2 linked regions of the Stegostoma tigrinum genome follow. The protein of the gene in region 1 binds, or shares a complex with, the protein of each later gene. Links are inferred from orthologs where the notes say so. Each region holds a gene or a part of one and is shown in the gene's direction. Other genes may lie near its edges.

Evidence for each region.
Region 2: the proteins of drosha (region 1) and dgcr8 are in contact, whole or in part, in a crystal structure (PDB 5B16), measured with the Homo sapiens proteins. The link is inferred for Stegostoma tigrinum from reciprocal best matches to the Homo sapiens genes DROSHA and DGCR8. Residues at the interface, in NP_001369437.1 of Homo sapiens: Leu984, Leu987, Phe988, Thr998, Tyr999, Thr1001, Ala1002, Ile1003, Gln1005, His1008, Phe1069, Asp1073, Leu1074, Glu1076, Val1077, Trp1078, Asn1080, Pro1082; in NP_073557.3 of Homo sapiens: Asn728, Ile731, Leu732, Lys734, Leu735, Gln736, Glu738, Met739, Lys740, Leu742, Ala743, Arg746, Arg750.

What each region holds. Positions count from the first base shown.
Region 1 is NC_081355.1:5,188,900-5,204,861, reverse strand, and holds the start of drosha (ribonuclease 3), read left to right. Parts: upstream 1-9,660; 5' UTR 9,661-9,766; intron 9,767-9,773; exon of another isoform or gene 9,774-15,962. Other genes in the region: c2h5orf22 (UPF0489 protein C5orf22 homolog), read right to left, coding at 1,905-2,026, 2,649-2,711, 3,707-4,196, 6,164-6,313, 7,077-7,222, 9,045-9,116. UniProt on the Homo sapiens protein: Ribonuclease III double-stranded (ds) RNA-specific endoribonuclease that is involved in the initial step of microRNA (miRNA) biogenesis.
Region 2 is NC_081379.1:5,872,773-5,888,603, reverse strand, and holds the start of dgcr8 (microprocessor complex subunit DGCR8), read left to right. Parts: upstream 1-8,403; 5' UTR 8,404-8,700; intron 8,701-11,106; 5' UTR 11,107-11,406; coding exon 11,407-12,114; intron 12,115-13,547; coding exon 13,548-13,710; intron 13,711-15,831.

The sequences.
Region 1 (15,962 bases):
ACCCCAATCCTCCCAAACTCCATAAAGTACAGGCACTGTGTCCTCAGCTGCTCCTCATATGACAAGCCCTTCATCCCTGGGATCATTCGGGTAAACTTCATCTAGAACCTCCCTTTAATGCCAGCACATCCATCCTTAGATATGGGGCCCAAAATGCTCACAAAAGTACAAATGTGGTCTGAAGGAGAAATACCTTCAGTCAGAAGGTATGGATCCTGCTATATCTGGAATGACAATAGCAAATTACAAAATCCTTACAGTGTGAAAACAGACCTTTTGCCCCAAGTCAGCACTGAACCTCATAACAGCATCTGACCCAGACCTCCTCCCCAACCCCCAACTACCCCATCATATTCCTGTAACCCTGCATTCCCCATGACAAATCCACTTCGTCTTCACATCCCTGGATACTATGGTCCATTTAGTATGGCCAATCCACCAAACCTTCACATCTTTGGGTTGCTCGAGGGAACCAGAGCACTTAGAGGAAACCCACACAGACATGAAAAGAATGTGCAAACCCCATACAGTAAGTCACCCAAGGGTGGGACTGAACCCAGGTTCTTAGCGCTGTGAAGCAGCAGTGCTAACCACTGAACTGCTGTGCAACCACAAATAATTTAGATACTTTTGAAAGGAAAGTACATGAGCAATAAAGTAATAGAAAGAAACAGAAGCTGAACAGCTGAGATGAAGCTAATGGAATGGGAGAGGATTTGTGTGGAACCCAGTATTCCAGCATGGATTAATTGGTCTGAATGGTCTGTCTCTAATTCGAAGGGAAATGTTTCAAACAGCGGCACATTTAATCTGTATTCAGGGGGCAGTTCTGCTCACAACACTGAAGACATTTTGTTACTTGTGAATGTGATGTGGGTGCTGTAACCAATCCTAACTGCCCTTTGAAATAGCAATTAAGAGTCAATCACATCGCTGCACACTTGGAGTCATATGTAGACCAAATTAGGTAAAAACCGCTGATTTTCTTCCCCCAAACAATATTACTGAATCAGGTGGGTTTTTATGAAAGTTGACCGTGGTTTCACTACTATAGAGACTGATTTAATTTAAATTCCACTAGTCGCCGCGGCAGGATTTGAACTAGTGCCCCCAGAACACGAGTTTGGATCGTCGGATTGCTAACCCCATGACAATACCACTACTCCACCGTCTGACCATGTTAGGTGGAGATCCCTCCAGGAGATACCTTTGGGAGCCATCAGGTGGTTTAGGAACTGGTCCAAGCAGCTAAAAGGCAAGTCACGTATTAACAATTGGGCACAAGCCACAGGAACAGGAGGGGTGAGAGAAAGATGTGATGTGCAGAAGTGAATGAAACAAGAAAAACAAGCTATCCAATCAATTTCAACTGAATAATTCAGCCAGAGATAGCAAGAACTGCAGATGCTGGAGTCAGAGACAACACAGCGTAGAATTTCTGAAGAAGGGTTCCAACCCAAAACGACAACTTTACTGCTCCTCGGATGCTGCCTGGCCTGCTGTGTTCCTCCAGCTCTACACTGTGTTGTCGCTTAATAATTCAGCCAACCCATTTTCACCTATTTAAGTTCCCATTAACAGCTTTTGTTTCTTCCTGGCTTACCTTTATCCATCCCTTTGTCAGCCTAACCATCTTCCTCTATAGGCTCTGTCTTCACTCCCACTTCCCACCCTACCCCTTTCCTTCTACTTTTTTCAGTGTAGATATCACCTTCACCTACCTATTAATAATTCTGAAGGGGCACTGGATCCAAAACATTAACTCTGCTTTCTCTCTCCACAGATGCTGCCAGACCTGTTGAGTTTCTCCAGCAATTTTTGCCTTTGTTTCAGATTTCCAGCAACTGAATAATCCCCCTGTCAAGAAAAATGTTGCTGCTTTATTGCAAAGTTATTTCATTTACCCAGGTATTGCTGCCCATTTTTGTATGCTTTCTTCACTGTCATCTTCACACAGATCTGCAAATGCAGCTTCCATATCTTCTAGCTGTCTTGTACGAGCTTCCACACAATCGATCAACGCCTCCTGGGGGGACAAGATATAGTTTTCAGATTTGTTTTTAACAATTGTCTTTAAATCAACGTTGCTAACATCAGAACTTCCTTGCTTTCAAAAACGTACCAACTCCTATACCTTCTGATACGTCCCATGCTTTGCTCTCAAAAGAAATTATTCTGTTAAATCCATCACATTTTAAATGGGAAGTACACTTTTCATGTTGAGATGTTTCACTGTTGGAGCAGGAGTAGACCATTTTTCAGCAGAGGTGTTGTGGCCCTCAGGTTAAACCACCATCAGTCATCTCTGTTCAACAGGACTGTGGTAACTTTTACACCCCAGGAATTAGTCTGCTTTTAGAAAAAAGGTTACTGCTCCCGAGCAAAATTGTAACAAAGTTGCTGGTCCATAGTTACAGTAGTGATTAATACTATCCTCATTTCCATCGAGAGAAAATAGCAGAGATTCTGTCTCTGTCTGATACAGTCACAGGATATAAACACACTGAATTGGCAAGCATATTCTTTCAAAAAAATCATAAACAGCAAATCTCAACAGTTGAAAAACCTGCAAGAAAACATTTTTGTTTCTTCAAAATTAACATAGCCTCATGTTGCGCTAAAAGCAACTATATTTGATCTTCACCTACCTCAGAGTCTTCCTGATCAGGTTTGTTAAAACTATACAACTGCTTGAGAATTTCATATTCTTCCTGAGGGACAAGATGAAAGTGATTATGAATAAATACACTGTCAACAGCTTAAGCATGAAATGATGCTTGTTCTCATTTAACATCCCCTGTCTTGCTGCAGTATTTAGGTTGAAAACAATCCTAATAACAAATCTTTCTATGCATCCCTCTTTTAGCTTTTGTAAAGAAAAACCTTGCATTTTGATAGCACCTTTCATCAGCACAGGACAGGCTGAACCTATTTTACAGTCGGTGTAGGGTCTTCACTGCTGTACTGTGGGAAATTCAGCAGCCAGCTTGCACACAGCAAACTCTCACAAACAGTAACGTAATAACATTCAGATCATTAGCTTGAGTGATACTGGGTGAATAATAAATACTGGGCAGGACACCAAGGAAAGTACCAGTGATCCTCCCAGGATATGTCACAACCACCTGAGTGGGCAGGAGGGGCTCACTTCAACATCATTCACCCTAAACGCCTTAAAGTGCAGGAGCCAGTAAAAAGACGGGTGGTCATAGTAAGAATGTAATTGGATTAATAATCCCAAGCCCCAGGCTGACGTGCTGTGCAAACAGGTTCAAATCTCAGAGTGGCAGCCAGTGAAATTAAAAAATAAATCTCGAGCTAAAAGCTAACTTAGTGGCAACACATAACCACGGTTAATTGTTGTAAAGCTCCCTCTGGTTACCAATGCCCTTTAATTAAGGCCATCTGCCATCCTTTCCTAGACTGCCCTCTGTGCAATTAGGGACCAGGCAATATCTTGCATTGAATACGACTCTCCTTCAGAACAATTACCTGCTTGTTTCCCTTAAGAGTTCACATTCACAAGCTAATCCAATGGTTTCTTTTCCCTGTCCATATACGTTACCCCAACAACAAAGTGAAGCCACACACACAAGATGTGAGAAGATCATAGGTACGCAAAACAGACCAACAAAACTCTACTAGTAAACATACAGGTAAAGTTCAGAAACCTTTTGTCCTTAAAGCTAGAATTAAGAAAAAGCACCTCGGTGTACATTTCTTTAAATGGATTTTTAACTGAAAAGAAATCCAAATCAATATCCAGGATGAAAGCATCTCTTTTGTCCAAGACATGAAGAAGATCCTTCACGATTTCCTTCTCCGGCTGTTGGACAGTCTGAGGGCTTGTCGGTGCTGTGTGGGGTGGAATGGTCTCCTGTATGTCTCTCTCAGCTGTGGAGTGTGAAACTGGACAAATGTTGTCACCATTAGATCTGTCCTCAGACAGCTGATTGTTCTCTTTGGGGGCCGAGGCACACATAGGCCCGGGAACACCTTCTCCACTGGTGAAATGTTCCATTTTTGGTATTTTGCAGGCAGATGCTCCAATTTCCTCTGGTTCCTCACAGTCATCTCTGCTCTGCTCACCTGGGTCTATCGGGATGACCTGTAACCCTAACTGCTTCCTGTTCTCCAGCAAACTCTCCGACACGTACAATCCATCACTCAGAAAGTAGCTCTCAGCACTTGTAACCCTGATACGAAAACACAAAAAAAAATCAGAATGAAATAATCTTTGCACATTCAAATAAAACATATGTGTCACAAATGCATGTATTTTGGAGAAGACAAACTGGAGCTGGCAGCTCAAAAATGATTAGATTTACACATCCTCTGGATATCCTTCCTTACACCTCTCTCTCTGTTTCCTCCTAGAACCACTCCTTTGACCAGATTTTTCATGGCCTGGTTTACTAGCTCCCATGGTTTGATGCCTTCACTCCTGCAAAGCCCTGGGACACAATACAAGTGTAACTTGCTGTTGCTGTTTCAGTCCAGTATCTGTCATCCCTGGAAATGGCAACAGGGAGAAAGCGGAGATGTGCAAAAGCTTCCTTTTACAGACTGCTCACAAAATTGGGAATCACTAGTTTTGATTCTTTATTCTTTCACCGGCAAGGCCATCATCTGTTTACCATCCCCAACCAGCCTTTAACTGAGTGGTTTGTTTGGCCATTTCAGAGGGCAGTTAAAGCCAATTGCTGTGGGTCTGGAGTCACATGTGTCTCAGACCAGGTAAGGAGAGCAGGTTGCCCTCCCTAAATGGACATTACCGAGTCAGATGGGTTTTTATGACAATCGATGATAGTTCCAGCATCATGAATATTGAGACTAGCCTTTATTCCAGCTTCTTTATGAATATTAGGGGGTGCAATGACCTACTGGCATTCTTGCTAGACTATTAATCCAGGGACCCGTGTTCGTGTCATACCATAACAGATGGTGGAATTTGAATTCACTAGAAATCTGGAATTAAGAGTCAACGATGACCATGAAACCATTGTTGATTGTTGGAAAACCCATCTGGTTCTTTTGGGAAGGAAACTGCCATCCTTATTTGGAAATATAATATTGCCGTTCTTTCACTGTCACTGGGATAAAATCTTGGAATCCCTCCCTAATGGCATTGTGGGTCTACATACTGCATGCGGACTGCAATGGTTCAAGGAGGGACCTTGTCACCATATTCTCAAGGGCAACTAGGGATGGGCAATAAATTGTCGGCCTGGCCAGCAACACTCACATCCATTGAGAGCAAAAAGAATTTATCTGATCTGGCCTATGTGATTCCAAACCTACTGCAATGTGGTTGACCCTTAACTGCCCTCTAAACAATTAGGAAATTGCATTAAATACTGAGCTAGCTAGTGATGCCAACTTCCCGTAAATTAATTTAAAAAAAAAACTGAATTCAAATCCAACCATTTTCCATGATCGGATTTGAATCCATGCCCCCTCACCCCCAATCATTAGTCTAGGCCTACTGTTCCAATAACATTACCACTAGGCCACCAGCTCCCATCATGTGGGGAATTGAGAATGTACATCTGCGATCTGTTTATCATTTTGTAGAACAGCAGGCAAGACACTAACTGTAATCAATAGCACACTCAGTTCTCAAGACAAACACCGCATTCAACGCTCTGAGAAAATATTACTCTTAACCTGTATCTTAAATCATGACCCCTTCGTTTTTGAACAGCAACCTCGTATTCCAGATTCTGTCAAGGTGCCTCAGGGCCTTCAGTTTTCAGGCAAGTTGCCTCTTAAGTCTTCAAAACACCAGTGGATGCAGGCATAGCCTGGCCTACCTGTCACTGAATCTCACAGTTCACAAGAGGCCCTGTGGCCCATTGAATCTGCACCAAAACAAACCTATGCTAAATTTACACTAATTCCATGTTCCAGCGCTTGGCCCTTAGACTTTAGTGCTATGACATTTCAAGTGATCATTCAAGTACATTTTAAAGATTTCCTGATGAGCACATTTTAGGCATTAATCTAGTAAACCTTCTCTGACCTGTTTTTCAATGCATTTCTGTCCTTCTTTGAATAAGAAGTCCAGAGCTGTACACAATGTTCCAAAAGTGGTTTCACCACTGGCCGGTCCAGTTGAAGCATAACTTCCCGATATTCCTGTCACAGTAAACAGCTGCAATACCTGATGGTTTTAGTTGAAGAATCTCTACCAACAAAGAAGCAGTGTTTCCCATCGGTGATCTGCTGGGCCCACAGAGGGTGAAGCCAAAAGACGTCAGAGAAGTGGCCAGCGTAAACAACAGGCATGATCCAGTTCTCAATGCTCAGGTCTCTATATTTAGGGCAGAGCGGGGAGAAAAAAAAATTCTGATCACTTTTCTAAGGACAAATAAGAAACTGAAGTGAGAGAAACAGAACATTTGCTTCCATTGAACTAGATAATGGCATCACAAGGTGCTTCATTCTTGCTAAATTATTGTCAAGTCCCACAACTGAAAAATCTCCCTGATTGGAGAGTGTTTCCCAGATTTAAATATTGTCATTCCCAAGACTTGAAAGCAAGTCACCATCTACTTCAGTGTCTCGTCCAGCCTCCTTCCGACAGCACCTTCCAAAACTATGACCTTTACAACATTGAAGGGCAATAGGTGCATTGGAACACGATCACATGCAAGTTCCCCACAAAGCCACGTACCATCCTGATTTGGAACAATGTCATCATTCCTTCAGTGTTGCTGGATCAAAATCTTGCATCTCCCTCTGTATTTACAACGTGGATCTACCTACAGCAAATGGATTGCCAATGGTTCAAGACAGCTGCTTGTTAAGTTTCCGACCCACATCCCCAGAGCGTTACTTCGGGCTCTGAATTACAGGTCCAGTGATTATATTGTGATGCCATCACCTTTGGAACATCAATTGCTCTTCAACTGCGATAATTAATTACTCATTCTCCCAACCCACTGAACAGTAACTGTATCTATTTACCTAACAGGTTATAATTTGTAAAGGAGAGATTATTTATAGTTATTTCAACAAGGACAGAGACACAGATTATTCAGCATTTAAATGCAATAAAAGCCAAGTCACGTTACCCAAAAAGCAGCTCTTTATCAAACACACTATCAGCTAACATGTCAATTGGGATTAGAAGGTCTGGGTGTGAGTCCAGGTGAACCAGGGCTATATTTTCAATTGGCAAATGCTTTGAACCAATTGCTCGATAGATGAATGGTACCACCTGAAAAGACAAGAACAGAGAGAATGTCCCGAAGAAAGCTTAAACAGGAAGAGGGTGAGGTGAAATTAACATTGTTAAATTCTGAAACTTCAATCAAGAATCACCCAGAGTCACAGTCATGGCTAAACAACACATTTACCCCCCTTCCACCAACAGGAACATTCAACCAATTTCTTTGTCAAGGCCCCCTCATGAATACTAACATTTCTATCAAAGCTCCTCTCAAAGTTGTCTTTTTGACGAACAGTTGTGGTGGTGTTGGTGGGTGGGGCTGGGGCAGGTGGAGTGTAAAACATTGTTCAATCTTCACATTAAAGACGTCTGAAAATCTCAGGTGGAGATGGTGCCACCAATCCTTGTTGTATTTTTAATTCAAGGCATTGGGTCCTGATCTTGGGCCATCTGTTCCAGAGATAGGATCACTACCACTGCATAAAAAGACCATTCCAACCCTTCTGATAATCCTAGTCTACATGCTTATTAGTACTAAATGGTGAAGGATTAACCAGTAAATCTTCTTTGGCACAAAAAACACTTAACTTGGGTAAAAAGTAGTAATTTATTGCATTAGAAAGAAGATAACATGTTACATTAACCTGAGACTGAAACTATAATACACTGAGTATGGTTGAAAGCAGACCCAGGATAAGTATGGTTACTTCAAGACTGAGGAACTCCTCCCACAGACTCTCATGCTTACACACATACACACTGGGCTGTCTATATCAAAACTCATGTTACTAGAATCTGTCATGCTTTTCCTCTCAGCAATCATCATTTCATACATCTCTGTATTAAAATGATTTAGCTCACTCACATGGTCCTGGGAGTGCCCAGTATCAGAAAGCGTTGGGAGTAGCAAGTTGCATGACCGTTGTCAGGTAAAAATAAAGGAAGAACAACAATCCTGGGGTTCTAGCTCTGGAATGTTCAGTGAATGGCTTTACAAACCCAGGAAAATGTTCCAATTCCCAGGATAATGTTGCAATCACTGTGACAATGCTACAATACTTGGACAACATTCTAATTCATGGGATGTTGCAGTTCCAAGGACAACAATCCTGGGGCAAAGTTCTAATCTCAGGAATAATGTTACAATCCCAAGGGCAACATTCCATGTTTCAACGCAACCTTCCAGTACTGGGATAATGTTCCAGTTTCCAGGACAACCTCTCAATCCTTGGGGCAATATTCCAATCATTGCAAATAATGTTGCAATATTCAAGAAAACATTGCAATCCCAGGTCAATGTTACAATCACCAGGACAATGTTCTAGTCCTCAGGCGACCTTTAATTTCCAAGATACCATTGCAACCCCCTGGAAAACAGTCCTATTGCTGTGATAATTTGCAATCCCGGGGACAATGTTACAATCGCCAGGACAGTGTCCTAATTCCCAAAATAAAGTTCCAATCCCCAGCACAACATTCCAATACCCAGAAAAACGTTCTAATTCTTCAGACCACCACTCAATCCCTAGGAAAATGTTGCAACCCCCTAGGAAAACATTCCAGTTCTTGGAACAATGGTCCAACCCCAGAGGCAACCTCCCAATTCCTGGGTTAATATCGCAATCCCCAGGGCAATTTTCCATTTCTCGAGACAAAATTCCAACCCCTGGAACAACATTCCAATTCGTGGGAAACGTTGGAATTCCAGGACAATGTTCCAAACCCTGAGAAGAGGCCGCAATCCCTAGGGGCAACGTTACAAATCCCAGGACAACCGCCCAATTCCCTGGGGAAAATGTGGCAATCTCCAGGGTAAGGGTCCAATTCCCGGGAATGACACGGCGGGTGGGTGGAGAGGGACCGCTCTTACATCTTGATGATCCTCCACGACCCAGACGGGAAGCTGGGGGTAGCGGCGCAAGCAGCAGGTGACCCCGCTCATGTCTGCAGGGAGGACCCCCTCACTGCCTCTCCCTTAGTCCTCAGAGCCTCCGGGGGAAGCACATCCTCCGTCGGACCTCATCCCTCGACCTACGTGATTGGAGGAAAACGAGTCCAGCACCAGAAACGTGCCGACCTGAAGCAAATGCAAAAAGGCCCCAAGATTGCTTTAACGCTGCAGGATCGAATCTCCTGCAGGGCTTTACCTGCTGAGCAGCAAATGCTGCTACCTTTATGTTATATATATAAAAAAAACAAAGACCTTTATGCTCGTGTTTGACCATTTATTGAATTTTGCATCGATCCGAGTCCAATCCTAAACTTTAAATCGCTTCCGTTTGTGTGAAGATTGCAGTTGACCCCAGTTGTGTTTTCATGGACACATATTGAAATAACATGCAATTTCTAAGAGGCTGCTTAAACATTCCCTGTTGCCAACCCAGTGTTTGCAACCAGGATCGGAGCATGTATCCGCCGGAATGTTGCGGGTGTTTCTTTTTCTCTCCGGCATTGTGACGCCGCCATGTGTCTGTGAGGAGCCAATGGGGACAGAGCATCGGGTCTGCTACTTCCGAGAGTTTCCGTCTCAGCTTTCTCCTCCGCTTCCTGTGCCTGAGGGAGAAAAAATACACCGCCAGCAGCTCGTGAAGTGTAAGTCCCGCAGCATTGACTGAAATGCAACAGGTTATTTAGAGTGGGAGCGGGTTTGCACTGTTTGATCTAACGATGTAGGGGCGCCGTGCAGCTAATGCGGTGGGGTGGAAACAGTAACAGGGGAGGGAATTGCAGCGTTGTGGAGAGGAACACACACGATGTCACTGCAATCACTGATACACAAAAAAAGGAGGCTGAATTAGTGGGATGATTAGGGAAAAAAATGTTTTATCAGTGTTTAATTCCTCAGGGCATTGTGACCATTGATTGCTTGTTCTTGGAGCTTCCTCTGCGCAAATAGTGTGTGTTCCCTACGCTACAACAGGGACCGCATTTCCACACCATCACGGTGAAGATGCCACATCAGTGTAGTTTCTTCTCCCTGCTTCTCTGCCCCAAACCTCTTGAAGTTTCATTGCCTCTCCCCTGGAGTTACCCACTGTGTTGATATGCAGCCCTCTGCTGCAAGACGTGTAGTGAACATATTCGGTCGGCGTTGAACCTGTTTAAGTTGTAATTGTTGGTAGCTGGGAATGTTGTCTTATTGGACCGTTGTATTCAATGTTGCAAGCTGATTTTAGACCGCACACGAGGCTAAATTCAATTGAGAGTAGAAGTGTGCTGCACTCTTGCAGTGGCAGGATTCTTGGCAGTGTGGAGGAACAGAGGAATCTTGGGGTCTGGGCCCACAGATCCCTCAAAGTTGCTACCCAAGTTGATAGGGTTGTAAAGAAGGTGTATGGTGCATTCGCTTTCATTGGTAGGGGAATTGAGTTTAAGAACCGTGAGGTTATGCTGCAGCTCTATAAAACCCTAGTTAGACCACACTTGGAATATTGTGTTCAGTTCTGGTCACCTCATTACAGGAAGGATGTGGAAGCTTTAGAAGTAGTGCAGAGGAGATTTACCAGGATGCTGCCTGGACTGCAGGGCAGGTCTTATGAGGAAAGGTTGAGGGAGCTAGGGCTTTTTTCAGTGGAGCGAAGAAGGGTGAGAAGTGTACAAGCTGATGAGAGCCATAGACAGCGTGGATAGTCAGAGACTTTTTCCCAGGGCGGAAATGACTATTACGAGGGGGCGTAATTTTAAGATGATTGGAGTAAGTTGTAGGGTTCTTTACCCAGAGAGCGATGGGCATGTTGAATGTGCTGCCAGCAGTGGCAGTGGACCACTTTAGAGACTTTTAAGCAACTCTTGGATGGGCACATGGAGGATAGTGAAATGTGGCATGTGCAGGGTAGATTGATCTTAGAAGGATAACAGGTTTGTACAACATTGTGGGCCAAAAGGCCTGTACTGTACTGTGTTCTTTAACTTAAAAAAGGAGTTTGTATGAAATAATTTCATTGCAACCTGCTTGGATACAGATCATTTAAGGACATGAAGGTATAACCTCCCTTGACAATGTGGACGAACAGGCCCTGAATGGTACTCTGAAATACCACTTTTAAAAAGAGGTGATTGGAAGAAAATGTGGGACAAAGGACATTTTCTTCACCACCTCTGAAGATTTTCTGACTTGGTTTTCCTTGTTTTATGTTCTTGGGATGTGCATTGTCTGGCTGGGCCAGCATTTGTTGTCTATTGAACCCTACTTTCTATCACAGCTTGGAGACCACTGTCAGTCCTTAAGGTGTAAGGACACTCAGGGTGCTGTTGAGGGAAAGAGTTCCAAGATTTTGACCTGGCAGCAACAAAGCAACTGTGATGTATTTGCAAATCAGGATGAGGTGTGGCTTGATGGGGAATATTCCGGTTGAAAGTGTTCCTCTGTATCTGCTGCCCTTGTCCTTCTGGGTGGCCGAGGTCATAGGTTTGGAAGATGGTGTTGGAGGCTTGATAATTGTATTAAGTGGCATAAAGCAGCAAAGCACAAGGTTTGATACACACAATGAGCTGAATTAGTTGGCACTGGCCAGGATAAAATGATTCTTGGCCTCAGTGCCCAGGCTAGACCTGAAGAAGGAGAAAGTTTCATGAGTGACTTCCCCCTCTCTCTGCTAGTAATCAGTAGTTTTTCAATGATTGGACTTAAGACTGTGACGCTTAGCCAGGTTCAGCACACAGTTATGATAGACCAAAAAAAAACATGGGGTATATGTCCATAGGAAGGAGTTCAGAATATAAGTTTTGTTTACACTTCATGAACCCAAGAAAAGTAAAATGCTGAGGTTGATACAAGCTTGAATTCTTAACAGGATAACAAAGTGTGGGGCTGGATGAACACAGCAGGCTAAGCAGCATATTAGGAGCAAAGAAGCTGATATTTCGGGCCTAGACCCTTCATCAGAAAAGGGATTGGAATAATTAAGCAATTGTTTTGGACTGATGATAATGCAATGGGCCAAAGGGTCTTTTTCCTGTGCTGGAAGACCTCTGACAGTGTGGAAAATATCTAATCGCTGAAGGATTAATCCTCAGAGTCAAAAATATTCCTGGCATTTGTGTGCACAAGTGTCTATGCCCCTACCAATTTTATACATCTTAATTATATCCCTCCTAAGTGAGCGCAGCTTCAAGTAAAACAATTCCAGTCTGCCCAATCCCTCCGTAACTAAAACTCTCCAATTTATGCAACATCTTGGTAAGTCTCATCTGCACCTCTCCAGTGCTATCGCAACCTGCCTATAATGTGGAGCCCAGTGTTGTCTGAGAACCCATGCTGTCTCTTTCAGATGTGGCAACTGTGCCATGCATTGATACAGCCACTTGGATTAAAATTGCATCCACTCTGTTGTGGCTGCACGGGAGTCTCAATTAAGCAGAGGTCTCACCTGCCCGCCTGGGTGGATATGGAGATTCCATGCCTATATTTCGAAGAGGAAAAAGTGTGTTCTCTTCAGTTGTCTTGACCATATTTGTCCACAGCACACAGATTTTGTTCCTTTCCACATTGCTGTTTGTAGGAGTTGCTGTACACTAATTGGCTAATGTTTCTCCTATGTTACTGCAATGAAGTACTTTAAGAGTATTGAGCAGTACTGTGTTTTGGGACACCCTGTGGCTGTGACAGTACTATTGAAACTCATGCTAACATAAATTAGAAGCAAGAATCAGCTAATCAGCCCCTCAGTGCTGCTCCACCAGTCATTAAGATCACAGCTGCTCTGAATCGATTGTCAAATCCACATTCTTGCCTTCCCCTGAGAACGTTTCACTCTTTTGCTTGGTGAGGACCCATGTTGGCCTTAAATATTCAAGGACTTGGCTATTATTTTGGTAAACCTCCTGTGAACTGTCTCTACATTTTTACTTAAACGAGAAGACCAGTACTGTGCACAGTACTTCAGTGTCTTCTCACCAATATTCTCTAACTCAAATATAACCTCCTTACCTTTCAGGCCAAAGACGTGGCAGTGGGTGACCACATGGGTCCCAGCTATGCCTCTTTCTAGGGTACATGGAACATTCCTTGTTCCAGTCCCATTCCAGCCCCCACCCACAGCTCTTTCTCCGATATATTTGATGATATCATTGGTGCTGCTTCCTTCTCTCATCTGGGATTGGGAAAGTTTACCAATTTTGGCTTCCAGTTTCCACCTCGCTGTCACCTTCACCTGGTCCATCTTTGATTTCTTCCTTCCCTTAAGGCAGGATAGACTCGATGTGTTGAATGGTCTAATTTCTGCTTCTATGTCTTATGGTCTTCCCTTCCTCAATATCTCTCTGTCCGGGGATGGACTGGCCACTAATATCCGATACAAACCAACTGACTCCCACGGTTAACTTGACTGTACATCCCCACACCCCATTTCCTGTAAAGATTCTTCCCTTCTCCCAGTTCTTGTTTCCATTGCAGCTGTCAGAAACACCCATCTTCTTCCTCAACCAAGGATTCCAGTCATAGTTGACAGGGCTGTCAGCATGTCCAACCCACCTTCCAAACTTTGGCCCCCACCCCTTCAACAGTAAGGTCCCCCTTTTCCTCACCTTCAGTCCCACCAGCATCTACAGCCAGCGGACCATTATCCACTATTCCCACCACCAGGCACACATCTCTCCCCTCCTTTGACAGCCTTCCTCAGGGACCAATCCCTCTGGGACCCCCTGGCCCACTCTTCCTTCACTCCTGCCACACCCACTGCAGCCCTCCCGCACCTTCCCTGCCTACCTTTTCAGCATCCAAAGTCCCGAACATACCTTCCAGGTGAAGTATCAGCTTACCTGCATTTCACTCTGTCCAATCTACTGCATTCTCTGCTCACACTGTGGTCTTCTCTATATTGGGGAAACAAAGCATAGACTGGATGACCACTTTGCAGAACATCTATGTTATGTCCACAAAAAGACCAAGCTACCTGTTGCCTGCTCCTTCAACACACCATGTTGTTCCCTGGCCAACATCTTTGCGTCAGGCTTACTGCATTGCTCCAGCGAAGCTCAGCGGAATTGGGAAGAGCATCACCTTATTTTTTGCTCGGGAACTGCACGGCCTTCTGGCTGTGATATTGAGTTCTACAATTTTAGGGCTTGAGGCACCTTCTCCCATGTCCATACCCCCAACCCTTAACAAATCAGGACTTGTTATCACATGGTCTGCTGTTATACATATGTAATTGATAGCCACTAATAGTCCCCGTTAGCAGCCAATCATTCTCCTAGGTTGACCGTTATCCACTCGTTGTCTGTCAAACTATTCTTCTGTCTCTTTGGGCTGTATCTCTACCTATTGTTTACTCTTTACTCCCTCCACCCACCCTATTTGCTGCTGCAGTAAAACACTTCAAGCTATAATCACACAAAACATTAACTTTGACTTCTCTCCACAGATTGGCTGAGTTTTTCCAGCAATTTCTGTTTTTGTTTCTCTCTAATTTTATCTTAAATTCTCTTTGCGATGAATGATAGCATTCAATTAGCTTTCTGAATTGCTTGCTTTACCTGCAGACAAATCTTCTGAGATTCATGCACTAGGACACCCAGATCCTAGGCTAATATATTAGTTAACCAATCCTCTAACAGAAAACAAAGAGTGGGGATAAATGGGTGTTTTTGTTTTGGTTGGCAATAAGGTTAGTGGTGAGCCTTGGATCAGTGTTGGGACCTCAACTGTTGACAATTTACACAGATGATTTAGAGTTGGGGACCAAGTGTAGTGGATCAGTGTTCCCAGAAGACATTAAGTTGTGTGGTCGAGCAAAGTCTGTGGAGGGATATCGAAAGGCTAAGTGAATGGGCAAGGGTTTGGCAGGTGGAGTACAATGTTGGTAAATATGAGATCATCCATTTTGGTAGGAATAACAGCACAATTGACTATTATTTGAACAGTGAAAAATTGCAGCATGCTACTGTGCAGTGGGACATGGGTGTCCGCGTGTATGAATCACAAAATGTTAGTTTGCAGGTGCATCTGGTAATTAGGAAGTCAATTGGAATATTACCCTTCATGACTAGAGGGATGGAGTTTAAAAACAGGGAGGTTATGTTGCAGCTATATGGGGTACTGAGTAGACCACACCTGGAGTACTGTATTCAGTTTCATTGGTTGAAAAAGGATGTACTCGTTCTGGAGGTTCACTATGTTAATTCCAGAGATGAGAGAGTTGGTTTGTGAGGAGAGATTGAGTAAACTGGGACTATACTCATTGGAATTTAGGAGAATTGGGGAGTTCTTATTAGGAACATATAAAATTATGATGGGAATAGATAAGATAGAAACAGGGAGGTTGTTTCTGCTGGTGGGTGAAACTAGAACTAATAGGGCAGATTTAGGACTGAGTTGAGGAGGAACTTCTTCACCCAAAGGGTTCTGATCTGTGGAATTCCCTGCCCAGTGAAGCAGTTGCGCCTACCTTGTTGAATTTTTATGAGGCAAAGATAGAGAGATTTTTGAATAGAAAAGAAATTAAGGGTGATGGTGAGTGGGCAGGTAAGTTGGACTAAGTCTACAGAAAGAGCTGCCATGATTTTAATGAATGCTGCAGCAGGGTTGAGGGGCCAGATGGCTGCCTCCTGCACCAATTTCTGATGTTCTTAACCATCTACACCTCAGCTCTACCATCACACCATTTAGATGATATACTTCTTTGATACTTGATAATTTCAGTTTTCTAACATTATACTTCATTTGCCCAAGAAATTGCAGCCCGTCACCTATATTGTTTTGCGGCCTGATGTCCGTTTCATCCACCTATGGAAATCTTTGGAAGTTTCTGCCCCTTCAGATCAATCAGTTCTTTTTGCCCCCGAGTGT
Region 2 (15,831 bases), on another chromosome or scaffold:
AAAATGATGAAATAAATTGCAACAGATGATAGAACAGATTAGTAAAAGATAAATAAAGGTAAATGAGAATAGACTAAAACTGAAGAATAAATAGTTAAATTAAAAATTAGAATGTCTTAGTACTTGAAATCATAACATCCAGAAAGGTTTTGAAGATCCATTTTTAATGAGAATGGGAGGAAATCTGCTTTTCTCATAGTTAATGGTATTAATGAAATGATTTGATCCGTGCAAATCCCGAGAGTGCAGTTTCCTTCTCAGATTACCAATTGTGAAGAAAATATGTCTTTTTTTCATTACAAAATGAATTTCTGACTCATGGTTTTGTTTTTATAAATGTCACCAATATAGGAATCCCCTAGCATTTGCATTAAACCTCTTTATTTTGAATGGTAATGGTGTCTCGAAGTTAAATTACCTTTCCATTTCATAATCTAAAAACTGTCCCCTCAACCTAACTTGTCTTTTCAAAAAACCACAAGTAATTTTAGCTGCTGCTATAGTTTCAAAAATGCCAAGACGTATACCTTTGACACTAGCAGTTTGTTATTTTGTAAAGTTCTGCTCAGTTATATTCCAAATGTCATATTTTTGTGTACCAAGAATACTGTATTAGATACAGGTATCAGCAAATGTCACTGCAGGGATTTTTTGGGATGCTTCACTTGAATTCAGAATATATTGGTGCAATTCTAGAATTATTTCAGTGGTACAATGTCACCATTCGTGTGGTCATAACTGCAACTCTTAGCATCTTATTGTTGAAGTTAATTCAACAGCATAAACTAATTTAATACACAGTATTTTACAATTCAAAGTTTATTTTTCCATAACAATGCAAAGTAGAATTTTGCACTTCCTGATGATTGTTCTTAATTACTAAGTTTGTAATAAAATGTTCTGTACCAGTATCAATAAAAGTTGAAACTTAGTGTTGAAAATAGTGTCACTTCCCTTTCTCAACATAATCTTCTCATTAAATTTATCTTACTTTACACATTTTGAAGAAAATTCCTGAGATCTGCTCCTACCTGACAAGTATTGGTTTGCAAGATAAGTTGGAAACCCTCTAGTCTATATGTACCAAAATGGAGTTTCTGCCACATTTGCAGCAAGATATTGTACATGAAATAAGAGTGGATCTGAGAAATTTCTGTGCCTAGTCAATTTTGTTTTGTGTTCCAGTGTATATTTTCAATGATTTATTTAATAACCTCCCAAGACGCGTGACGTCAGGCAAGGTGATCAGAGGATCAGGATGCTGGAGGAAGAAATGATGAGGGAGGATGGTGTATGAGGGAAGGGATTGAGTAAAAGTATTGGAATGTGAAAGGGAGTTGAAGTAGAAGGGTAAGAAAGAAGAATGGGAGGGAGGAAGAGAGGAGGAAAGGGTTAAAAATCAGAGGCTGACGCAGAATATTTCAAGGAAGAGGATTATGGAAAAAACATTAAAGGGGGCAGATTTTAGAATCATAGAATCCCTACAGTGTGGAAGCAGGCCATTTGGCCCATTGAGTCCACACCACCCTCTGAAAAGATTCCCACATGCACCCACCCCATACCATAATCCTGTAACCCTGCATTTCCCATGGCTAATCCCCCTTGTCCACACATCCCTGGACACCATGGCAATTTAGCACAGCCAATCCATTAGACCTGCACATCTTTGGACGGTGGGAAGAAGCCCACACAGACATAGGGAGAATGTGCAAACTCTACACAAACAGTCATTCGAGGCTGGAATCAAACCTGGGTGTCTGGCACTGAGGCAGCAGTGCTAACAACAGAGTCACTGTGTCGCTTTGTCGAAGGAAAAACAGATTCAGCATTATTGCAGTGTAAACGGGACAGCTACGTCTCCAGATCACATATGCCTCATTAAATATAGAGATCCAGAAGTTGATGCCTGGCTTCTCTAATCTTCAAATGCTGTGCGAGAGATTCAACATGTAGTTGGTGTGCAGTTCTAGTCTCCTGCTACAGGAACAATGTTGTGAAACTTGAAAGAATTCAGAAAAGATTTATAAGGATGTTACCAGGGTTGGAGGGTTTGAGCTAAAGGGTGAGGCTGAATGGGCTGAGGTTATTTTCCCTGGAGCACCGGAGGCAGAGGGATGACCTTATAGAGGTTTATAAAATCACAAGGGGCAAGAATACGGTAAATAGGCAAGGTCTTTTCTCTGGAGTGGGGATTGCCACAACTAGAAGGCAGAGTTTTGAGATGACAGGGGAAAGATTTGAAGGGGATCTAAGGGGCAACTTATCCATGGAGAAGGTGGTGTGTGTTTGCAATGAGCTGCCAGAGGAAGTGGTGGAGGCTGCCACAATTACAACATTTAAAATGCATCAGGATGGATATGTGAATAGGTTTGAAAGGGATATGGGCCAAAAGCGGGTAAATAGGACTAAATTAATTTAGAAAATCTGGTCTGGACAAGTTGGACCGTGCTATTTCTGTGCTGCACATCTCAATGACTCTATGCAAGTTTTTGAAACAGTGGGACCTTGGAATAACTGCTGACTAAACAGTTCATAAAATCCTGTGTAGGAACTTTCACATCATGGAAGTCTTAATTTCTGCCAGACAACCATTTTGATGCTAAAAGTATGCATTACAAGTGTGTAGTCTCAATTCTTAAGATTTTGACTGTTATTGGAGGTTTGAAAAGTATGTTTTTACATTCCCCCCCCCACTCCTGTTCATAAATAATGTCACCCGTATTTCCTCTTTTCTTGACTTTCTGTAATTGATTTGGTAGTGAATTCAATGTCCAACTGACACCTCCTGTATTCTGCATTAAAGATTTTTCAATCTCATTGCTCAAGTGGAAAAACAATTGCTTGTCTGTTCATGAATTTTCCAGATCTGCATGCCAAAATAGGGCTCTAAATAGGTTCCACTTCAAAATTACAGAAAAAGCCTGTGAAGTAGCAGGAACCATTCACACATCCCTGAAATAAAATCTAGCTCTATTACTTGGAGATTAGGGGTTGGCTCCATTTGAGTACGATTGTCACAAGAGGTTTGTGTACTGACAGAGTACAGAAAAGGCAATGTAATGGACCAACATTTATACCTGTTTTTAACAAAACTTGTTTCTGAAGAGAAATCATGTATTATATTTAAAGAACTGTACTTTTAAATTTGAATCTGCCAGTGATGAGAAATAGAAACTTCCTTGAAGTTATTAAGTTGGCAATTGTTGACTTTGTTGTGCAGAACTAACTTGGGGTGGAATTGCAATAACATTCACAAAAGCTATTTACAGTACAAGCCTGAATTTGGTAAGTTAATATCAAGTGAGAATTTTCATATTACAAAAGAACGGGTTTCGTTTATGCCATGTTTATATATTAACCATGCTTGAGCAAGATTGAGCTGAAAACTTTCACCGTAAATAAGATGCTTCTGGCATATGGCCCTGACTAATATTAGATCATACTATGGATAAATAATTCTGGTTTATCTTAATTTCAAAGCTACAGTTCCATTTAGAAAATAGATTTGTTATTGATCTCATATTTGTTATTCACTGTTGCATGTAACAGAATTAATGTCCACATGAATTTGCTGAAACTGAAATTTGGAACAATTAACATTTGATATTGCAAACTATAAGCGTTCCCCTGGCCAACAATAACAGTGTCATCATTAAGTTAGATATAGCCTTCCACACAAGGCTTAGTGGATAAATGCTGTTCTATCATACAAGCCACAAAGGTATGTGTTAAATTGGTCATTACAGATATTTTAATTAATCTATTCAGAGATGTTATTACATCTCTAGAGCAGGTGGGATTTGAACCCTGGAGACCATGACTATTCTACACTTGATTTCAGCATTCTTAGGTTGGAGAGAAATAAATATCAGTTAGAAAATGCACATACTGGTGTCAGGTAAGGACAAAAATAGCAATTTTTATTTATCGCCTGAGATAAAACACCAACCTGAGGCAGGAACCCCTTTGACATGTGAGATGCTGGGTAATTATTAGCAGTTCTATTTAAACCTAAATAACATGATGTGTAAAGAGCTCACTAAGATGGACCTCAGGAGATTGTTGATGGGGACATTACAGAATTATGTTTTATGGGTAATGAAAACATGGACAAAGATTTCCGTGTCAGTAACAGGTGAGACAATGATAGAAGACCAATATTGTAGCAATGGAATAAATAAAATCTGAAAATGTTGGAAAACAGAGCAGTTAAGAAAGGTGATGTGGCAGGTGTTGCATGACTGGCTGACCTTTTCCAACATTTTCTCTACTGTAAGGAACCGTATATTTTTCCCTTTTGCACTGTAAACTCAAATGGAAGTTGGACCACAATATAGCTGAAATATTAGAGTTTTGCAATTTAGAAAAATTAAGTGGTGTACATTTTTGACTGTGCAAGAGAATTTTGCAGTTGGAGCAATGAGTTTGATACATTATTCAATCTGTGTGGCACAAGGAATTTTTGAGGTAGGGAAAATCAGCCTGGTGACAGCCTTCATATTGTTCAAGTAAAATCAGAGTAGCCAGAGACCTCCAAGCCAACGAACTGAAAACATCTCTTTCCCCTTCTCGCAGTACAATTGGAAAGGAAATAAAACCAAGAAAACTTAAAAGAAAGAACTTTAGTATAAAAGACATGGGTCCACCAAATCAACCATCAAATGAACAATGAACATCGCTTTACAGACAGCAGTGTGTCAATGTTGCTGAACCAGAAAGCGGTGGCATGGTGGCTCAGTGGTTAGCACCACTGCCTCACAGCCCTACGATCCCGGGCGACTGTCTGTGTGGAGTTTGCACATTCTCCCCATGTCTGTGTGGATTTTTGCTGGGTGCTCTGGTTTTGTCCCACAGTCCAAAGATGTGCAAATTAGGTGGACTGGCCATGCTAAATTACCCATAGTGTTCAGGGATGTGTAGGTTAGGTGCATTAGCCACGGGAAATACAGGGTGACAGGAATAAGGTGGTTGGGTCTGGGTGGGATGCTCTTTCAAGGGTTGATGTAGACTGCAATTTTCTGCTTATTAAGGTGAAAGTGACGAGTGGTGTACTGCAGGGATCAGTGCTTCGACCCTACTATTCACAATAGCTGAGAAAACTAGGTGTCATATTTCTGATGAAGCGTCTAGGCCCGAAACATCAGCTTCTGTGCTCCTAAGATGCAGCTTGGCCTGCTGTGTTCATCCAGCTCCACACTTTGTTATCTCGGTGTCATATTTCCAGGTTTTCAGATGACACAAACCTGGGTAGGAGGCTATGTTGTGAGGGGGATGCAGAGAAGCTGCAGTGCAATTTGGAGTAAGTGTGCATGTGACAGATTGAGTATAATGTGGATAAATGTAAGGTAATAAAACTTTGGTAATAAAAATAGGAAGGAAGATTCTTATCTGAATGACAATAAATGGGGAAAGAGATGCAGCAATGAGACCTGGGTGTCCTTGTGCAAAGTCAAATGGTCTGCTGGCCTTCACAGCGAGAGGATTTGAGTACAAGAGCACTAATGTCTTGCTGCAACTGTACGGGGCATTGGTGAGACCACACCTGGAGTATTGTTTGGTTTTGGTCTGCTTATCTGAGGAAAGATGCTCTGGATGAGGAGGTAGTGCAAAGGGGGTTTAGCACACTGATTCTTGGGATGGACAGACTGATGAGTGGGGAGATACTGGATCAGTTGGAACTATATTCACAGGAGTTTAGAAGAACAAAGGGTATCTCCTAGAAACTTATAAAATGCTAACAGAATTAGACAGGGTATATACAGGAAGGGTGTTCTTGATGGCTGGGGAGTCTAGAACCAGGGTTCACAGTGTAAGAATAAGAGAAAGATCTTTTCAGACAGAGATTAGGGGAGGTTTCTTTCACCCAGAGTGGTGAGCCTGTGGAATTCTCTAGCACAAGAAAGCCTTGAGGCCAAAACATTGAAGACTTTCAACGAAAATCTGGATACAGTTCTTTGGACTGAAGGGATCAATGAATAGGGGGAAAAGGCAGGAACAGTGTACTGAGTGCCCTTGCACCAATTCGACCACAGCACTTTCTCCAAGGCAGTTAGAAGTAGGCCAGCATTTATTGCCAATTTATCATTGCAGAGGTAAAGATAAGCGAAGGTAAGGTCATCACAGTCTTGCTGGACCAACAGTACTGCTCTCTAATTGGACAGAGATGTTGGCATTCTGAATTTGGAATTTGGATTTGCACGTATTTGGAAAGGCAAGCACCGATTAGGGATAGTCAACATGGCTTTGTGCGTGGGAAATCATGTCTCACGAATTTGATTGAATTTTTTTGAGGAAGTGACCAAGCGTATTGATGAAGGCAAAATAGTGGACATTGTCTATATGGACGTCATTGAGGAGTTTAATAACGTTCCACATGGTAGTCTGGTTAACAAGGTTAGATCGCATAGGATACAGGACGAACTAGCCATGTGGAGACAAAATTGGTTCAAAGGTAGGAGACAGAGAGTGTGGTTGGAGGTTTGCTTTTCGGATTGGTTGCCGGTGACCAGAGGTGTGTTGTGTGGATCAGTGCTGAGTCCACTGTTATTTGTCATTTAAATAAATGATTTGGATGTGAATATAATGTGGATGTGAGATATGGTTAATACGTTTGCAGATGACCCCAAAATTTGTCAGGTAGTGGACAGTGAAGAAGGTTGCCTCAGTACCATGGGACCTTGATCAGATGGGCCGATGGGCTGAAGAGTTGCAGATAGAGTTTGATTTAGACAAATGTTAGGTGCTCCACTTTGCTAGGACAAATCAAGACAGGACTTGTACACAATGCTAACGTTCTGGAGTGTGTTGCCAAACAAAGAGACCTTGGAATGCAGGTTCATAGTTACTTGAAAGTGAAGTTGAAGGTAGACAGGGTAGTGAAGAAAGTGTTCGCTATGCCTGCTTTTATTGGTCAATACATTGAGTACAGGAGACAACAAGGTGCAGAGCTGGATGAACACAGCAGGCCAAGCAGCATCAGAGGGCTAGGGGTCTAAGCCCGAAACGTCAGCCTTCCTGGTCCTCTGATGCTGCTTGGCCTGCTGTGTTCATCCAGCTCTGCACCTTGTTGTGTTGGACTCTCCAGCATCTGCAGTTCCTACTATTATAGAGTACAGGAATTAGGAGGTCATGTTGCAGTTGTGGAGGACATTGGTCAGGCAATTTTTTGGAGTATTGTGTTTGGTTCTGGTCTCACTGTTAATAGAAAAATGTTACGAATCTTGAAAGAGTTCAGAAAAGATTTACAAAGACATTGCCAGGATTGGAGGGTTTGAACTACAGGGAGAGGCTGAACAGGCTGGGACTATTTACCCTGGACCGTCAGAGGCTGAGAAGTGACCTTATAGAGGTTGCTAAGATCATGAGGGGCATGGATAGGGTGAATAGACAAGGTCTTTTCCACCGGGTAGGGGAGTCTAAAACCAGAGGGCATAAGTTAAAGGGAAAAGTTTGAAAAGGAACTAAAGGGCAACGTTTTCAAGTAGAGGATGGTGTTTGAATGGAATTAGAGGACATACAATTAGAGGTACAATTACAACATGTAAGAGGCATCTGCATGGGTATAGGAATAGAAAGGGTCTAGAAGGAAATAGAAAGAACTGTAGATGCTAGAGTCAGAGCCAATACAGTGTAGAGCTGGAGGACTATCGCAGGTCAGGCAGCATCAGAGGAGCAGGAAAGTCCACGCTTCAGTACTGGACCCTTCATCAGGTGGAGAGGGACATGTGCTAGATTAAGATATCTGGTTGGCATGGATGAGTTGGACTGAAGGATCTGTTTCTGTGCTGTACACCTCAGTGACTAGCGGCGGTTTAACTCGATTTGTCACCATAGTAACCTCAGCCTCTCTTGGCATCACATAAATCAACCAACTGAGCTAACCGAATACCACCCCCTTCCTTAATACCGGCGTACAAGTATTATGAATGAATAAAAACAAGCATTTCTCTATTTCGAAAAAAAAACAATCTCATCTCATCTCCCTTTTTGTAAAGCAAGACTATACCTATTTTCACAAATTCCTTCTCACTGCCATGGTGATTGTCAGTGGACTATAAAACGCATGCGCATTTGATGGGCGGGGACGAACCGATGATTGACATGAACTCCAATCTAGTGCCGTCACCGCGATGGTTGGTTGGCGATTGGTTAGGCCGTTCGTCAATCACCGACAGTCGCGCAAATATAGCGGCGCTGTCACGAGCTGGCAAAGAGAAGGCGGGGATAATAGGAACCGCCAACGCCGGAGATTTCGAGATAACAAGGTGGAGAGCTGGATGAACGCAGCAGGCCAAGCAGCACTTTAGGGGCAGGAAAGCTGACGTTTCGGGCCTAGACCCTTCCCGAAACGTCAGCTTTCCTGCCCCTAAGATGCCCCTGGGCGTGATGTCTTCATCCAGCTCTACCCCTCCTTATCAAAGAGCAAGCGGGTTCGGATGGCTGCTGATCGAGGCAATAAACTAGTAATGCGAAGCCTGTGGCGCATGCGTGCCGGGGGTGGCACGGTCCGTTGATGATTGACAGTCCGGAGACCCACCCCCCCTCCTTTACGCTTCTGTCGATTGGCTGACCGAGATATCAATCTTCAAGGCTGTGCATGCGCTTTGACGAAGTTGGAGCTGCGGCTGGTACCGGAGGTTTTGGGTGCGGGGAGGGCCGTGAAATTATCTGACTTTTTTTTCGATGTGATGAGCTTTTACGGTAGGATTTTAATTTTGCACTAAGCTAGCATAAATTTTAGCCTTGACGGCACTATTTATTTAATCGTTAACCATTAAACCACGGTTAGTCTCCGAGGAGCGATTTTGCGAAGTCAATACTTTGTTTCTGTCGAAGTCTAGGCTAGGCCTCAGATCACGCCTGGGGGAGGGGGCTCCTTCTGGCTTCTCGCTTAACTTTTAATGTTAAATTAGACAGAGGGGTGGTTTATACTGGAACTCAGTATCTCTTTTTAAGTCGGTGCAGGGATTTGTTTATTTTTAACTGAATCCCCTGGTTAGATCCGGGTTCGTGTTGAATGAGTGGAGCTGAATGAGTCTGATCAAAGGCCTGTTGCTGTGTGACTTCCATCGAGTTTAACCATGTTTCACCAGACGTAACGCTACAGCGAAGATCACTGAAAGGCTCAGCATGTTTGGAATTTATGAAAAGATCGATTCTCTTTTTTGTTTAGAAAAAGCTGTTAGGGAGCTAATATTTCGGAGGAAGTAAAGGGATTTGAGTTATCATACAGTCACACAACATGGAAACAGACCCTTCGGTTCAACCATAATGGCCCTTGCTGACCATAACCCCAAACTAAACTAGTCCTACCTGCCTGCGCTTGGCCTAAATCCCTCCACACCTTTCCAATGCACGCACTTATCCACATATCTTTCAACAGTTGTAACTGTACCCGCATCTACCACTTTCTCTGGCAGTTCACTTCACACATGAATGGCACTTTTTTAAAAAGTTGTCCCTTATGTCCTTTTTCTTAAAACCTTTTTCCAAACCTTTTCCTCTTACCTAAAAAGTATGCCCCCTTGACTTGAAATTCCCTGCCCTAGGGCAAAGATACCTACTATTCACCTTACTTGTACCCCTCATGAATTTATAAACCTCTATAAGGTCATCCCTCAACCTCGCACACACCAGTGAAAAAAGTCTTAGCCTGTCCTTATAACTCAAATCCTCCAATCCCACAATCCCAGCAACATCCTGGTAAATCTTTACTGAACCCTTGCCAGTTTAATAATATCCTTCATATAAGAGTGACCAGACTGGACAAGATACTCCAGAAGAAGCCTCATCAACTACAATATGATGTCCTATCTCCTATACTCAAAGGTTTAAGCAATGAAGGAAAGTATGCTAAATGCCGCCTTAACCACCCATTCGATGCAAACTTCAAAGAATTACCTGAAATTCTAGATCTTTTTGTTCTGCAACACTACCCAAGGCCCTGCTTTTATCTGTATAAGTCTTGTCCTTGTTGTTTTACCAAAACGCAATACCTCGCACTTCTCCAAATTAAATTCCATCTGCCCATTGACCCAATTGGTCAAGATCTCTTTGTAATCTTAGATAACCTTCACTGTCTACTATATGACCAATTTTCTTTCACTAGAAATAACTTTACATCGATTTCTAATGCTTTTTTTTCCTTTGATATATTAGAATATGAACTATTAAGTCAAAGTGTTTAGATATTTTGGAATCATCTAGTTATTTTTAAAGTCTGGAATGGAATTGTCAGGCTGAAATTTGATTAATCTGCAGATTGGATTTTTTTGTGCTGTGCTGCTTAATTCATTGTATCAAATTTGAAAATTATGATTTTTATATGTATAATTATACTTTGCTAGTGTAGTAGTGGCTACATTTGAATAACTGTGCTTTGAGAGGCTTATGATAAATATAAAATTCTCCCCTCTGTCAAAATGATGTATGTGTTTAATGTGTTCTGACATTAAGCATTTTCTACATCTTGATAAGTGAAGACTTAGATTTTGGATAGTTTTTTTGCATTACTATAATGTATGTATTACTTAATTGCTGACTACTTGCTTGCTGTTTGATGAATGATTTTAAAAAGGATTTGGCCGGGTTACAAGTTGTTGATTTGGCTGATTATAATAGTCTGAGATACTTATTCAGGCAGACTTGATACAAAATGAAAGATTGCTTTTGGAATAGTTTATTTTGGCTTCACCAGGGGGAAACCAAATAAAACTGGAGAATAAAATGCCTCAGCAAAACATAACTCTTTATTTAGAAATAAGAACAACGTAATCAATCTTGATAATACTTTTTCCAGTACTTTCAGTACCTAGAAACTTCAGCTCTGAAATTTTATTTGCTGGGTACTTGTGTACAAATGCTTTCATGCATTAGTTTAAAATGTGTTTCTCCACTGCATCAGTAAAGTTGTTAGTCCATTTATTTAATACTTAAAGTAGACGAGAATGAATGAATGAGCAAAAACAGCTTGAACAGAGAACAGAATGGAAATTGAGTGCTATGCTAATGCAAGGCATTATTCTAACAGCTAGAGTTTCTCCAGTAGTTCACACACAATCTTTTTTGGTTCAGTTGTATTTATTGCATTTTATTGTTTCTCTGCAGGTGATCAGTAGAAGATGGTGTCAAGGACTCAAGATGATGAATTCTATCTAATCGCAGGCGTTGATTAAGCTGAATACATTGTGATTTCCAATAATTGAGACAGTGATTCTAAAAGCTGTCTACTTTAATGAAAAGAACAATGTAGTCAGCTTAACTGAATCATCTGTAAAATTTGCTTAGTACCATAACTTTTGAGAAAATTTACTCGGACTGGCATATGTTTCTTTCTTAGTTGGGTATTTGACTAAGATATAATTTGTTTAGGACTCTTTATAGCTTAGAATTAATAAGTTTCGAAAAATGGAGACGTTTGGAAGCATGCCACCTATGCCCAAAGAGCCACTGAATGTGGAGAATCAGCCGTGTCCCCCACCTCTTCCTCCAAGCGCGCCGCCGCCTCCACCACCTCCCCTGCAAATGTCCAGTGACGCAGAAGTTATGGACGTTGGCTCTGGTGGTGATGGACTTTCAGACACTCCCGCTGGGGACTCTAACACGTGCAGCCAAGACCAGCTTCTTACGATGGAATCCACTGCCTTTAACAGTCAGTTCACAACAGTATCGGAAAGCTGTACACAGAATCCAAGGACAGCACGTCATGCACCGGCTGTTCCTAAGTTTGCCCCTGATATTAAGTTACTGAAAGATGTAAAAATTCGAGTTGTCTTTACAGATAGTAGTAAAAGCAAGGACAGACAGGTAGTTTATACTGGTGTTGAATCTGGTGAGAAAAGTACTGAATTTATCAAGAGCATGAATGGAGATTTGCATGGCACTCCTTTTGACAGTAATAGAGTAGTGGGGCCAGGGGGTATCTGTAGTAAAAATACTAGTAAGCAAGAGATTGAAGACAATCAGGAGAAAAAAGTGGAATTTGCAGTTCTCGATGAACTAGAAGACTTTACAGAAAACTTCGAAACTGATGATATTGAGGGAACAGGTTTCAAATCTGAAATGATCATTCAGCAGGATCACATCGATGAAGAAGCTCTGAGTTACTCTTTTGAGGTATGTGAGCAGGGTTCAAAATACTCACGTGCATGTGATTGCACGTGACTTCTCCTTGTGTGATATAAATGGCTTCCCTATCTTTTTTTTTCCTCTCTCTCTCCCTTGTTCCTGCCTGATGCATGTAACCTTTGTTATTCAAGATTGACCTGTCATTAAATTGCAAATAATATCTCTATACTCCAGTATTTCTTAATTGTTGACATTTGCAGTTTGCTTACTCTGACTTTTAATTGCTCCTTCTATTTACATGCATCAGGTAATATGTTTAGTATTTTGAACCCTGTATATGTTTCTATAGTCCATTATGACCAGCACACTTCTTCATCAACAACTTTTCCAGCTGGTAAAATTTTAATCAAAAAGTCCATTTATTTCTGTACGCTGTGCAGCAAGTTGTATTTATATTTACACATAATTAGTAAGGTGTTTTTAATGAATATGCAAGTTGTTTAAATTTTTTTTGTTGGTACAAAAATATCCTTCCATTCCTACTTCGCTTCTCTTTCTACAACTGTGGTCCTTCAGTCAATAATGGATGAACAGAAATAGGAACTGCTGCGTAGTTCTGATGCCCGTTCCTTGTCTATGAATTGGTTAGTCGGAGTTGAGTCCACCCATCTGTAGGTGTGTATGGATGAACCAACTCTGAAGACTGACCAGAGCATTAGATAAAGCTCAATACAGTGATGGCATCGAGCTCAGGCTGGAACCTTAAACTCTGACAGTGGAAGTGTGCAGCAAGTATCTTTTGTATCTTCAGTGTATTGTGTGTGTTTCAATTTGAAATAACTTGCCCACTTTATGAAGCCAGTATTTTTATACATAATTTAATTTTAGTCCTGCAAAGAAACTTAATGACACGTCAGATTTAAATACGGGCATTCCACTTAATGTTATTGTAGTAAAATAAAGTCTCTTGATAAGATACAAGCTTGCTTTTGGGCTCACCATTTTAATTCAGGTATATTGTGTTATTGTTTCATGAGGTGTTTTTTAAAAACCACTATTTCATAGCTTCGAAGCAGTTTAAAGTGCAAACAGCCTTCCTTGTATTATAAATTAATTTCTCTGATTAAAAATGTTTTCAAATTGCACAGAAACAAGCGGGACACTTGAATGATTCGTAATTGCTGAGTGAGCCACAACTTTATTCCTCAGTAGAATATCAGACTCTAAATTTAAACATCTGGCTTAGTGTCTATGAGTATTTTGTTTCAGACATCTGGGAAATGATCAATGTTTGTGCTTTTGCTATGCAACTTGGTGTAAGATCGTATATTCTCTTAGTTTAAAGGAACAAACATAATCCAAATGACAAAATAATTGTGTTAGTGCAGCTAGAGTTCAGAGTTTCTTTTTCTTTTGAACTGTCCTGTTCAGAAATCTTCGTATTGTTATAGTGGGATGGCCTTCAATGCTGTATTTTGCAGGATGATTTTGATAATGATGTTGATGCACTACTGGAGGCAGTACTACCTCCTCCCAGAAAGAGGAAACGGGTAGAAGAGGATAATACTGGTGACAGTGACCACCAGACTGATGAAGAAACAAGTGTGCAGCCAATGATGACCAAAATTAAAACTGTGTTAAAAAGTAAGTGAATGACACAAGCTAACAGGTTTTGTTTAATCTGTTGAAGATATTATACAGTTTGGTAGCCTGTGGCCAAACCTTGCTAAGATGACAGTTTTTCACAAGTATCATTGTATTGGCCAAAGATTTTGCTACGAATAGTGTCACAGATTAACATAATTTATCCTTAAAGACGATCCATATTTACACAATGTTCAGGGATCATTGTCAGTAACAAACTGTGTAACTCTGACTGATTTTCGTTTTTGTGTGTATAAGCACCCCACCTCCAGCCCTGTCTAAATTAAATTGCCAACCCGGAATATGAGCCTTGGGTCTTTTCAGGATTTTGGTTCAGTAGTAGTATTTGTACAATTATTGATGGAAGCATAATCTCTCAAGAGTTTTTGTCTCACATCTATGAAATTTCTCTTGAAATGTCATTTTTCCAGCAATATCTTGATTGGGAGGTTATTTGTGATACACTTGTAAACTGTGCAAACTCCGATTGCATTGCAAAAGATTTTTTCTGAAGGAGAAGTTCAAGTTGTAGAGTTTGCTAATGGGAGTAAACTCGACCAGTATTCGTGCGTTTGAAACTCTTGGGATAGCAGCAGGTCTGGCAGCATCTGTCAGAAGCAAATGTCACTGGACTCAAAATATTAACTCTGTTTTTCTCTCTACAGGTGCTGCCAGACCCACTGTTTCCCAGCACTGTGTTCTTGTTTCAGATTTCCAGCATCCACGACCCTTTGTTTACTGTCAAACCACATAGGACTAATTGATGAAACAAATTTAACCAATACTTAGAGGCTTGAAGGAATGTCAGATTTGTAGTACACTTTTTAAGTGGGTACTGGATCGTATTTGAGAACAAGCAACTTATTAACCATGTTTTACGTCCAAGGTTGAAATCAAATAGAAGTGTAGTTGGCGTACAATAGATTTATTGCAGGAGAAAGTCCTTTTAACTAACACAAGAACGGTAAGCCTTTCAGTCTATTCCTCACAGTGAAATCGGGGCTAATCTTTGGTTAACAAAACACTGTCAGCCTCTGATCTGCACTAAAGAACTGGCAGCAATTGCTTGTGGAAACAAGTTTCAAAACTTTTGATAACCTCTTGACTGTAAATGTGGTTTCCAGTTTTGCTCCTGAAAACCATGCCTCCAGATTTCGCACCATGTGCCATAGTCCTAGATTCCCTAATCTCTTAATGTCTTGCAGACTTCGATCAAATGCTTAATATTTTGTTTCGTAGAATATTACTGAAGTTTGTGTAATCTTGCTTAATTTAACTACTGGAGTCCAGGTATCTTTCTAGTCGATCCACTATGTCCAGTGTTCGTAAATTCTTTATAAAGTGAAGTGCCCGTAAGGAAACAGCCCATACCATGTAAGCTGGGCTTTGCAATATGATTTCGCATCCCTATACTGTAGCTGAATTAAATATACAACATGGCATTCCAAAAACTTTTTGATAACTCTCTCTGAATGTTCATGACATTTTAGTAGCCTGTACACCACTTACTGAATTCACTTGGTTTTCTGTTTCTAACCTTTAACCATGTTGAAACGATCCTTTTAGGTCAGAAGTGGATGAACTCTCACTTGGATTAATTAAAATGCAATTCCCATTCTTTTACTCATTCACTTAATGTATTACTATTCCCTGTTATGCTTCTATCTATGCTGCTTAAAATGCCAACAATCTTTTGCCGTTGGCAAACTTAGAAATGTGGTTTCTACCCCATCATATAAGATGTTAAATGCCATAAATGGTCAAAGCCCCATTGCAGGTCCTTGTGGAGTGCTGCTTCATGCCAATTAGGGTACCTGTCCATGATCCCTACTTTCTTTGTCCTGCTGCTCACGCGCTGTCCTCATCTGAACAATACCTGCTCTTAGTTCTGTGAGCTTTAACTTCAGGTAATAATGACCTTTGGTCAGAGTAAGGGAGAAAAGTTGAACTGAACAGAAATTTAAGGTAATTCAGTAATTTTTGTCAAATCTCATGCCTAAAGTTCAGTACATTCACTGAACCTGGATTTATACCAATGTTGCACTGGAATGGTTGATCAGGAAATGTACTTTAGTTTAATTCTCTCTCTTTTCTTATTTCTCAGATACACAATTCATTTAG